Oryzias latipes: one gene and its partners. The protein of the gene in region 2 purifies or fractionates together with the protein of the main gene of each other region. This does not show direct contact. Links are inferred from orthologs where the notes say so. Each region holds a gene or a part of one and is shown on either strand. Other genes may lie near its edges.

Region 1 (3,650 bases), on a different chromosome or scaffold from region 2:
CGGGACTCCGATTGTAGTTTCTACGTCACCGCTACAAGCTTTTGTCCAACTGCAGTTTTTGTCTGCTCCTGATTCACAACAATTTAATTAAAGAAATACTTAGACCTACATTTTAACATTAAGAGACTGCTAAGAGAACATGTAAAAACACCAAAAAGACTATTTTCATCTGAGTGGGTCTGTAAGGAAGGCCTGCCTGCCAATCTCAACTGAGGAGAGTTCTCTACCGTTTCACAGTTGAGGCAGCGCGTCTCATTGGTCAGTGTGCCCTGGAAGATGTCGTGAACCCACGTGGGCTCGATCTTGTTCTCCATCTCTGGCTCTGACGTGACGGGGGTGCCGTTGTTCTTCAGACGGCCGTTCTGCTTCTCCTGCTTCTTCTCCTCCTGCAGGATGTCAGCCACCGTGTTCAGCAGGTAATTGAGAAACTCGTGGGCATCCTGCTGCATGTAATTGTCAAAAAGATCTGGACGGAGACAAAAGACAGGAAGACGTGTCATGAGCTGTCCATTTAGAAACATCTGAGAGAAAAAGGACATTCTGATGATGTAGAGACCTTAAAGCAGTCTGTGCAGCACTGTCCACATGGAGCAGAAATGTTTATAACCGCTAGCTCAACCCTACAGGATAATAACCAAAAGCTGATTCTAGTTTCATAATAAAAGATTCTCATCCAGTCCCCCTTATCTCTGCATAAAATGGACCAGCTCTGCTGCCCAAGTTCACGTCTATAGCAACATGTGTTCAACGCAGGTGCATTTTACGCGTAAAGCCTGAAAACGGGCGCAGAAACTTGCATGGCTACACCCAAACGCAAGAGTTATGAACACAGAAGCCCGAAATGCGCATTTACGCACATTAGCACAGTGGTTGCATTGCCAAGGTGTAAACGATGTGAACGTAGCTTTACAGATGCATTAAAGTACTCCATTTAGATTACTTTCAAGAAAACAGCAACTATGAACCTCCTGGATTTGGACTGGTTTCCTGAAGCGCAGGTGAAATGAACACCTGGTGTCTCCATTTCTACCTGCTCACTCTGGCATGAGAAAACAACGGGGGGATGGGAGGAGGGTTAAATGATTAAATGCATTAAATAAAATTAAACACATAACATAATATATACTAAAACTAATAGAAAAAATAAGCATATGAGCTAGACTAAAAGCAAAACTAAAAAGGTGGGTCTTTAGCATCTTTGTAAAAACCTTTACTGCAGGGGCCTTAAAGTCAATTTACCTTGGGGCCACAGAGGGCCGGGTCTAGCTGAGGCTGGGCCGCAACTTCAGCGCTGTCTGAGAGCCAATGCCAGTTTGAATCAGAAATTTAAAAAATTCCAATCTTCTCCGATTTCTTATTCTATTTTATGAACACAAATAAGATGAACAAGGACCCTGGTGGAAACAAGTTGTGTGACTTTCTCAGGTACATCCCTTCTTTGGTAGTAAATTTGTATGGAACATGTGCGATATTATTAACTATACTATACTATACTATTATAAACTGCTTTCTGTACAAAATGTACTTCTAAAACTCTCGATCAAATAAACTCAAACACCTAAATGAAAAAAAACAATCAATAAATAAATCAGTAATACATTTCTGTTTATTCAGTTTTCTATATCTTGTTTTCAAACTTAAATGTCCTAAATTGTGTGAGGACAGCTGTGGCAGTTTCCCCTGACTGAAACTCCACAAAGGAACTCAAACATACAGACACATCGTATACTCAGGGACTAAGCTAATGCTGGTTGGGTGGGTGAACACATTCAACCATTTAAAACATCTTAGAAAGTTCCTGATAGCAACACACACTGATATACACACTGTTAACTCCTTTTATTCCTTTATTATTTTGGGTGTATTATGTTTATGTATTTTTGTATGTCTTGCTGACTTGTGTCTTACCTTTTTCAGTTTCACTTCCTGGGTCAAAGGACCCGATCTCTGGGTTTGGTAGGCTTTTGTAGGGCCTGACCAAAAATCAGCAATTAACCTCAACTGAAACCACCTGGCCCAGGGGAGGGGCCATGTCTTATAAAAGTGTGAATTTTGGTTCATGAGAGAGAGGAGTTTGGGTTTCAGAGCATGTATGGACATTGCTGCTGGTTACCTACTGTAAAATAAAAATAACAGCCATTTTCAGCATTCACAAAAACCTTGTGGAGTGGCTTTTATTGGTCTTGCCTTGGACCTGTCGGTCTCACTCCGGACAGGAGCGTGACAACAGCCATATAGGAATTAATAGCCAACTATGGAAAGAGTTTGACTGGAAAATCAAAAAGGTTTTTTTTCACACACCCCTGTTGATTTCTAATTTTGCCAAAGGCTCATCCACGGCCTTATGTTGGAGGCAATGTGGAAAAATTGGGGATCATACACATATTTTCTTTGATTGCCAAGTTATCTGCGAATTTTGGAAAGATATTAAGAGGGAGGTTGAAAGTATTGTAAAACATGACATTCCTTTAAGTACTCTGTTGTATTTGCTTGGTGTATTTCCAAAAGACTTTGATGCTGATCAAATATATATAATGCAAATTTTACTTCTGGTCGCAAAAAAAAACACAAAGGGAAATTGGAAAAATGTAACATCATTTAAATTTTATTTGGGGTTGTGACTGTTCCTTGTACCTTTGACTGTGGTTGTATGAATATATGTTTAACTGAACTGCTTGTCGCATCTAGCGTTAATGCATTTTTTTTTAAATTTCTTTGTTTTACCTGCTTTACACTATATTGAATGTGGACTTATGGTCAAACTTGTTTCAGGGAATTGTTATGTTTGTTTCATGTTGTGATGAGAAAACAAAAATAAAGAGTTAAAAAAAGTGTAAATGTCCTTATTAACAGTTCAGTTAGCACTGTGAAATTATAACTACTAAACACAAAAGAAAACTTACATTTTACAGTTCTTCAACCTCAATCAATGGGTTCTTCTGAGCACTTGCCTACTTCTTCCTGCTGGACACTTGGCTGCTTCCTCTGCTCCAGCTGAGAGGAAGCAGCTGAGAGCCTCAGTATGGCTTGAAGATGCCTGTCAGAAAGTTCTGGACCTGTACTTGGACTTCTTGAAGTTCAAGGTAGAGAAGAACTTTTCACACAAGTATGTGCTCCTTATTTTAAATCTATGATGAACGTTTTTTTAGGTTTGCTTAAAACAAATCAGTAAGAGAAACAAAATTCAGTAACAATCTGTTGATTTTCTTTCTTATGACTTTTCGCACATTCAAACCCTGGTCACAGGTTATTTAGGAGTAGCCAGTCAGCCACTCCTATATTCATAGTTGAATTCAAACTCTGGTTAGTTAAAGAACGGGCGCCATTCATTGGAGATCAGAACAAGCGTTACAGATACCTGAGATCAAAGAAAGACTCAAAAACTGGTGGAAATTCATGTTGGCAACACATCATACGTGCAGCCAAGATGCACAATAAGTGTGTTTGACATCACCCAGGTGGCCGCAACGCTGCGCTGATCACCTGGTGTCCAAAGTATGTTTTTGTTTTTGCTCCAACGTCACGTCACAAAAATATCACGAGAAAGGGGTGCGAGCAAAAAGGCGGCAACCTAAGCTAACGCAGCTGCAAATTTGGTACTGCGCTGACTGTGAGCCGCCCTGATGACTGCAAATAAATGCATTGTGGGA
Region 2 (4,383 bases):
TTTCACGCGCACTCATTGTGCGCTCGGACACTGGCCCTTTAAGCCAATGCATCATGGGAGATGTAGTGTGAAAACTGCCGAAAAAGGGCAGAAAGACTCGCGTCTGTGAGCTTCATTGTTTTGTTCACGGTCTGACACCGGACTCTGTGGAAAGCTACACCGCTAAAGACGAGCTTTAGCTGGTATTTTTGTTGGAAACTTAGAGACTTTATCAGCAGAATTAAGAACAAGGAAGTGAAGACTTTAACCACTTCTGATTGGTCAGACTGCTGACATGTGATTAAGCCTTCAACAATGATTGGCGGAGACAGGTAAAGGGGCGGGACTTTTCCGCAAACCGCTATAGCTGCAGGTAAATACCGTCATTCTTATCAAAATGTCTTTAATAGAATCAAATAAACACAAAGAAAAAGTAATTTTAAGATCTTTTATATTCCTCACTACTCAGTGTTTTATCAGGGCCTGTTTGGATGAACAAAGAGCTGATTTCCTGGAGATGGAAAATGTTTTTAGATCAGTGAATGATTAATGAGGGTAATTTCTCCACGGCACACTTGACCATCTCCCACGGCACACTAGTGTGCCGCGGCACACTGGTTGAAAAACACTGCTTTAGACTCTGAAAAGGCATGTCCAAATCCCGGCCCACAGACTCATAAAAATCAATAATGTTATGTCTACATCACTGTCAATGATTTTTGGATTGCAATTGGATAAATTACGTTGACAACATCCTGTGGCGACTTAACCTTCAGAGCCTTTAGGGCCAAACAAAAAAAACAAATGTATTTATATCTGTGATCAAAACCACAGTAATTCAGGAAAAAGGTAACTTTTTGTGTTAGTTTTCTGTACACATGGTTTAAATATAAAAGTCAACCTTGAGCATTTAGAGGTGAATAATGTGTAATATTTCACAGGAACCAAGATTTTGTGTTTACGAAAGGATTTTTTTTTACCAGACAAACTTATTTATTTCTGGTCTTCATTTATGAAATTCACAGTAATTTAGGTAAAAATGTATTTAGGTGCATTTCTGTTTTATAAATAAAAAAGTATGCCATTGCAATAAAACATTATATAATTTATTTGCATTTAAAAAATGCTGACCCCTCACATATTTTCATGAAATCAGACCCTCTTTGCAAACGGTTTGCTCTGGGGATCTTCAGCTAACAGGTTGAATGTTGCAGTAAACCACAGCGACAAAACAAGAACAGTTCATTTAGAAGGAAGAAAGCACAAAACATCTGCTGCAAACTATGAATACAGCATGAGCCGAAAGAAAATGAATGAAATGCAGCAATGGTTAAAACAGAACTTAATTCAATTGAAGCAGATTTAAACAATTGCTGGCCAAATTCTGTGGCAGAGAATCACAAATGAAAAAATGTAAAAGTAAAAGTTGTAAGTCTGTTATATCAGGAAATCTTCATGAAGTCAGTTTTTGTTGTAATTTGACCTTTACTTTGACCTCATGAATTTAAAGGAAAGTATCTCAAAATGAGCAATTATTAGGTTAAGAATAATTGCAACTCAAAATAATAATTGTGCAATAAATTAATTGCATGACAGTCAGCACTAGGCAAAGCTTTTTGCTGGGTGGGGGCAGCAGCCCCCCTTGGCCCTCTGGTAGCTCTGCCCCTGGTAAAATTCCTTCACAATAAACTTAAAACATGATGGGATTATTTCAGGTTAAACTGATGAAGGTAAAAATCAATTCAAAATCTTATTTTGGCCCAAAATTTAGGATTATTTGAGATTATTTGGAAGTGAAATACGACACCTTAGCTGGAAAATATCTGAGAACATTTGGGCCTTTTCCTGAAAACAAAAAATGCCAAAAATGTGATTTCTTTCCCCCCCGCTGCACTGAACACACAGGAAGGTCTTTGCTGCAGAGGGCACCGCTAAGGTTATCTCAGCGCGTCAATAAAGTGATAAATAATTCACCTTGCAGTGTTCAGACCTGGAGCCGGCAGAGCCGCGTTAACATGCGGCTACATCATGAACCTCCTCCAGCATCACCTCCTTATCCTCCACCGCCAGCACCTCCAGCGGGGCGGCAAGCATGACGGAGCTGAGGCCGGCGGAGGTGCCGCGTTAGCGGGATAGCAGGCTATGCTAAGCCCGGTGTCCGCGGCGGCAGCTTACCTTCTTGATGTTGGTGTAGGTGTAGAAATACAACTCCCTGCCGATGTTGAAGCACACCCGCTCCGACTCCTCGCCCGGGTCTTCGGGCTGCAGCTTCACCATAGAGACCCGGACCGGCGGCAGGAAGCCGGTCGGGGAGTTGTTGGAGGCGGCATTGGAGGAGGCGGACGCCGCGACCGCCGCCGCTGCGGCGACGGCTGCAGCCCCGGGCCCCTGCAAAACGGCGACCCCTCCGCCGGGGATCTGAGCGGTGCCCGCTCCGGGGCCCAGCGTGGCTCCGGCGGACGGCCCCCGCGGCAGCCCGCCCCGCTGCTGCGAATCGGAGAGGGTGAGCAGCTTGTAGAAGCCCTCCCTGGTCCGGAACTGCGATTTAATCTCATTGATATCCTTCAGAGCGCCGCCATCTCCGGCCATTTTCAGAGCAAACGAGCCGCGAAGGAAACAGCGATCGTCGTGACCTGGAAATAATAGCGATTCAAAGTACGGAACAACAGCCGCCGCCGAGCTCTGCTAGGCCGACCAGGACCCCCGGCCCGCCCCGGCGCATCTTACGGTCGCCGCCTGGAGGAGGAACCCGCAGAGGCAGCCTCTCGGAGCCGCGGACAACATCTGCCTTCCTCCGCCGGGGCTCTGCCTCCGATCATCCGGCGGTACGGAGGCGTGATGCTGCGTCTCCTGGTGGGCCGACACTGCACACCCCCACGGTGGTCCGGGGAGGGGGGTACAGAGAGGACATCCGGCCTTGGTCAGGTCGATTTACCCCTTAAAAAACAGCGACACCCAGCAGGAGCAGAGAGCCTTAAAGACACATTCCAGATTAAAAAAACAAAAAACAAACAAAAAAAAACACTTCCTAGATGGAATCCTTTAGGATGAAATGTCCACACTGGAAGAAATGCATTTTTGTTTATCAAATGCTGTTTTTTTTAGGTTTGCCCTCCTAAAAAGAAATGGACAGTCTGTCATCCTAATATTGATTCATTTGAAACGATAGGAAATCAAGAAATTACCTTTAAATAATCTAAACACATTTGTTTTGATTAATTGTAGGTAGTAAGTATGTAAACTGCTATAGTAACCATTCAGAAAGTCACACACAAACCAATTAGACTTTCCAGATCAACCTAATTTGAAGACACCGGTTTGAACTAATCTGCTATCCTATGGGGTCCAGATGACCCGATCCTTACATTGGCATGTGATCCCTAGCATGACAAAGGTGGAGAGGATTTCATGTAATCCATGGACACCAGTGAAGATCACAAATCATCGAAGAAAAAAGGTTTAGCACACTGTCTAGTGGGTCTAGATGACCCCACTCCCAATGTTAAAGTGCCCAGGACAGCACAAGGGTTACATCACCTCTCCACACAATCAGCCAGACTCCAAACTCTCCAACATGGGAAAAACTAGAGCGTTCAACGTGTTTAATGACCCACTTCAATGAAAATTGGGTTTTTAACATGCTTTCCTCATGATGGAGGATATGTATGTATGTATGTATGTATGTATGTATGTATGTATGTATGTATGTATGTATGTATGTATGTATGTATGTATGTATGTATGTATGTATGTATGTATAGATAGATAGATAGATAGATAGATAGATAGATAGATAGATAGATAGATAGATAGATAGATAGATAGATAGATAGATAGATAGAGCTCAATACTAGCAGGAGAGAGCGTAAACAAAGGAATGATGGGAAATAAGCGCGGGCTCACTCATGTAAACGGTCCCGCCCACGAATTTCTAATGATCTCCTGCTGCTCACCGGAAACTATGTCCTCCAAAACAACACAGATTTCTTAAATTTAAATGTTGCCTAAAACAGCCCAATCATAATTAAAAGACCAAGGAAATTGCTTTTACTACAGATCACAAGATGATTGACGTGAATCTTTTATGGGAGAAGATTATAGACCTGCAAAAGACCAGGATGGACTACTAAACCATCGGCAAAAAACTGGAGGTGAAGGAGATGACGGTTAGTAAAGCTTGGCCAAAATACAAGATCATGAGCATCAATCCACCTGTGGGTCTGGGGCTCCAAATAAGACCTCAGCTGTTTGAGTTTCCATGATCGTCAGATCGTCAACACAGGAGGAGTCAGTTGATGATCTCAAAGTAGGTGGAACCACAGTCACCAAGAAAACCATTGGTAATGCTTTAACATCTTGCAGGTGTGCTAAAGAACGCACACCTGCAGACCTGCCAATACCCTT
Region 3 (4,314 bases), on a different chromosome or scaffold from region 2:
AGGCAAGTGAGCAGGTTCTCCTTCCGTCGAGGCTGACTGCGGTAAGCCAGGATCTTCTCCCGGAACGGCCGGCAGAAGTAAAGGGCCTGCAGCACCGAGTTGCAGTAGCAGGTGTTCCCAAACTAAAAACACAAATAAATAATGTACAATAACCCAAAAATAATAACTGTCAAAAATCTCATGAATTAAAAACAAAAAAATGTGCTAATAAAAAAGCTGCTGAGAGCTGCTTAAGAGTATCATTTAAATTAGGTGAAACAGTTTTAAATAAATAAAGTTTTGCACTTCAAATCAGTCACTTACATTGACCAGACCAAAGTAGTGCTCGTTGACCGGAAACTGCTCAGATCCAATCTCTTTCTCCAGAGCAGAGGCATTGGCGCCCTAAAACACCACAACATACAAGCACCAAGAGTCACCTTACCTTTGTTAAAATAACACAAACACATTAGTAACACTTTTACATGCAACCATGATTTTAAAGGTCACATTTTGGTCAAAAGGTTAAAGTTTTGAGGCTCAAAAGGACAGATTTTAAAAATATTTTTGTCATTTCAAGAATACAATCACCATCATCATATATGTTTTTCAGCTCATGAGCCAGCATCTAATCTTGTTACAAAGAGTTATTTAATTAAAACTGATTTTCGACCCTGTTTGGGTGAATGTATCAGACCGAGCATTGAAAGTAAATAGATTTTGAACATTATTTTGAAGCTATTTAAGTGAAACTTAAAAACTAGTCACCATAACTTGTTAACATTTAATAAGCGATAAACTGAGATTAGGTTTTTTCTAGGGGGGTTGTTACCTCTAAAGCCCATGTCAACTTGGAAAAAACTATTAGGAATCCTTTTATTTAAAGGAATTGGTGCCAAGTTGCTTCCAAATCTATGTGCACCAATCAAATGCATCTGAACTATTTTTAAACTCAAATACTCAGTCTGCACAACAACTTGTTAAAAAATAAATAAATAGAGAGAGAGACTGAATAAGAAGATAATTTTTATGTTATCCAAAACAAAATGTAGGTAGCGGTCCACAGAGTAACAATTACAATTTCATCAAAGCTAAATTGTTTTTACTTAATAGATTTGTTTTCTTTCATTTTTTTAGACTATTAAAACATTCCTGCATAATATGGTCCCAGATGAGTGGAAGAGTGAGGGAGAGAGGGAAGGAAGGCAGGAAGGGGTGGAGGGAGGGATGAATGTTGGATTTCCACAAGTACTTATTCATAATCCATAAGTCAGTCCATCATTTTCATCGATAACAACTTCCATTCTTCTCAGTAGGTAAAATGGTGAGGTCTGATAACGATGTTGGATGAAAAAGTCCGTCTTAGAGTCTTCACTTTGGTTCATCCCAAAGGATGGTTAAGGAGAGGCCTCTGTGCAGACTAGTTCTTCCACACCAAAGACGAGGGTCTTTGTGGATCTTCCTTTGTGTACTGGTACACAGTCATATTGAAACAGCAACAAAAACATCCTAAACCTATCCCCCCAAAGACAGTTGACAGTATCGAAATGTATTCATAGTTTCTTTCACTACAACAAAGGATCCAAGCCCAGTTTCAGAAAAACAAACATAATCCTTCCTTCAACAAACTTCACATTTAGCACAGTGCAGTCAGACCAACATCAAACCCAAACACATCCATGTGATTGCTACATGGAAAACCTGAATTTCTTACTCCAAAGAACACATCTCAACTGCTTTACGGTCTGGTGATGTTATGCTTTTATACCAATGAATCAGATCTTAAGTGCAGAAATTTCCATGTCATGTGTCTCATGATCTGCTCACTCGAAGCCCACATAAACTGACGGACACTTTGTGGTTAAGCTGATGTCCCTCCAACTATGGTATGAAATCACTGACTTGTTGTAGGTGGGATCCTAATACAATCCCACCCTGGAATTCACTGAGCTCCAGAGTGCAGCCCATCATTTCACAGGTGTTTGTATAAACAGCCTCCATTCCTGAATTCTATTTATTTTTAGTACTTTTTGCAACAAAACGTGGCACCATTATATATATAATAAACAAGCTTTCAGTTAGTATAACGGTTATTTTCGAGGAGGATGCTGTCAACTTCTGAGGGAAAAAGCACTTCTAGAGATGTAATCCTAGTATCACCACTGTCGAGCAAACTGTCTGAAGAACAACTGCGCAGCTAATAATCTGTGTCGTCATTGCCAACACTAAAACTGTTATTTGATAGTAGTTGACGCTGCAGCATCACTACAATGTTCAACGCTTCCCTCAAAACACAGTCCGGACGTGTTTTTATCGGAAGTTTTCCTCAATCCAGTTGCTGGGAAGCTAAACATTGCTTTAGCTTCACATTAGCAAGCTAGCTTTGAACCCCTACAGCAGGTGCACAGTCACTACAACCAAATAGGGCGTGTAAATATGAAAATAATAATAATGGAGCATTAACTTTAAGTAAATAAATAACAAATATAAACATTCAAGGATTTGCGGCAAAAGCGAAGAGGCTCAGAAGGAGGAGGGTGGCTGCTCGGTTAGCATCAGAAACCTCCTCGGCTAGCACGGGAATCCGATTTTCACTGTTTTCATTTAAAATTCCGAGATTTAAATCTCAAATAACATAGTACTGTCAGTTTCTACATAGGCAAAAAGTCCTAATAATCACTATGTAAAACTGCCGTCCACTTACCATGGTACAAAAAGAGGCAAATTTGGAAACTGTCATTAGGATTTCCATTCGGCTAGCGCCATCTTCCACAACACCGCCGCGCGCTGACAAGACTGCTTAGAGAGGACGAAATACTGCTGAGCTCGCGGAGGACGGAGCTGGACGCGAGAGCACTCACCGCACACTACTTCCGGTTTCGCTTCTGCAGTCAGCCCTCTTTGATTAACTCAATGTACTTTCCGAAACTGCCATCTGTGTGAATGATTAATAGATTTATCAGAAAATATTTAAATTGATTATGTGAACAACATAATATCGTATATTTATTTTATAATGGCAGTTATACGAGTTGAAGAAATTAGATTGGTAAATCTAATTACTCTTAATCACAAATACCACCATTAGCTTGTACGTACAGAACATGACACATTGAAACTATACAATATTGAATTTGTCAAATTATTTAAATTAATTGCCTAGATGTGATCCTATATAATTCCCCTCCAGTTATATTTTACCTAGCTTTTTTTTCTTTACCTAAATTATCTTCATACTGTTCTTAATTTCTGATCCCTGTTGAAGTGCAGGTCATTGAAAAAAATCAAAAATTATTAAAGAATCAAATGACAAAGACGAAATACATATTAATTACGTAAGTAGACATGCCATTATTACAGAAATCAGTATAATATGTCCAAATCAAGTGCCAAAAATAAGTGAATATTGTTAGTCATTAGAAAATTACTGTCACCACAAGAGGGCACAATTCAGGTCTTTTGTGTCACTGTCCCAAGTGCGGGTAAATTCAGAAGGTTGTGTCAAGAGTGGCATTCGATGTAAACTAAATCGAACAAATCATGAACCAAACTTTGACTCCAGATAATTTTTGGTCTGGGTTAACACTGACCGCCACCAATGCTACTGGTGCCAGTGGAGATTAGACTTCTGTACAAGGAAGAAGCCATGTTAGTTGGCAACAAAACCAAAAGAAAGAGATGTGTTGGACTTGGAGTGTGGAACTTTGAATGTAGGGATTTTGACAGTGACAACTACACAGTTGAATGACATGTTGGAAAAAAGAAAGGTGGATATCCTGCATATTCAAGAGAATAGATGGAAACGAGAAAGGGTAATAAATTAGGAGCAGGTTCCAGCTGTTTTATCACAATGTGGTTGGAAAGAGGAATGTAGTAGGAGTGATCCTGAAGGGGGAGTTCATCAAAAATATTCAAGGGGAGAAAAGAGTCTGATAGGAGTGTAACATTGGGTAACAGGTGACAGCTAAAGTGATCTGGGAGATTGAGAGGAAGGTATTTGTGTTGTATGGAATGAGGAAAAGAGATAAGGAGACTTGGTGGTGGAAGGAAGAAGTTCAGGAATGTGTTAAGAGGAAAAGGTTTTCAAAGAAAAAGTAAAATGCTTAGAGGACAAAAGAGAGCAGACGGCAGTACAGTGAGATGCATCACATGGTGAAGGTGGAGAGGGCAAAGATTAAACAAAGGGCAAATAAGGACCTGCATGACAGGTTGGACATAAGGAGGGAGTTTGTATCAGTTAAGGCAGACAACAGAGAAGGATGTGCAGCATGGTAGGTTGATCAAGAACAGCAATGGAAATGTGTTGACAGGTTCCAAAAGTGCAAAGGAAAAGAT

Evidence for each region.
Region 1: the proteins of WD repeat-containing protein 20 (region 2) and usp46 purify together in Homo sapiens (affinity purification with mass spectrometry; 5 studies listed by BioGRID and IntAct, counting the BioPlex papers as one, with this or other methods). This does not show direct contact. The link is inferred for Oryzias latipes from reciprocal best matches to the Homo sapiens genes DMWD and USP46.
Region 3: the proteins of WD repeat-containing protein 20 (region 2) and usp12 purify together in Homo sapiens (affinity purification with mass spectrometry; 3 studies listed by BioGRID and IntAct, with this or other methods). This does not show direct contact. The link is inferred for Oryzias latipes from reciprocal best matches to the Homo sapiens genes DMWD and USP12.

What each region holds. Positions count from the first base shown.
Region 1 is NC_019862.2:1,003,098-1,006,747, reverse strand, and holds part of usp46 (ubiquitin carboxyl-terminal hydrolase 46), read right to left. Parts: intron 467-3,650; coding exon 228-466; intron 1-227. UniProt on the Homo sapiens protein: Deubiquitinating enzyme that plays a role in behavior, possibly by regulating GABA action. May act by mediating the deubiquitination of GAD1/GAD67.
Region 2 is NC_019871.2:4,868,058-4,872,440, reverse strand, and holds the start of WD repeat-containing protein 20, read right to left. Parts: upstream 2,903-4,383; 5' UTR 2,569-2,902; coding exon 2,155-2,568; intron 1-2,154. UniProt on the Homo sapiens protein: Regulator of the deubiquitinating USP12/DMWD/WDR48 complex. Functions as a cofactor that promotes USP12 enzymatic activity.
Region 3 is NC_019878.2:17,502,271-17,506,584, reverse strand, and holds the start of usp12 (ubiquitin carboxyl-terminal hydrolase 12), read right to left. Parts: upstream 2,820-4,314; 5' UTR 2,732-2,819; coding exon 2,684-2,731; intron 385-2,683; coding exon 304-384; intron 123-303; coding exon 1-122. UniProt on the Homo sapiens protein: Deubiquitinating enzyme that plays various roles in the regulation of the immune response and inflammation.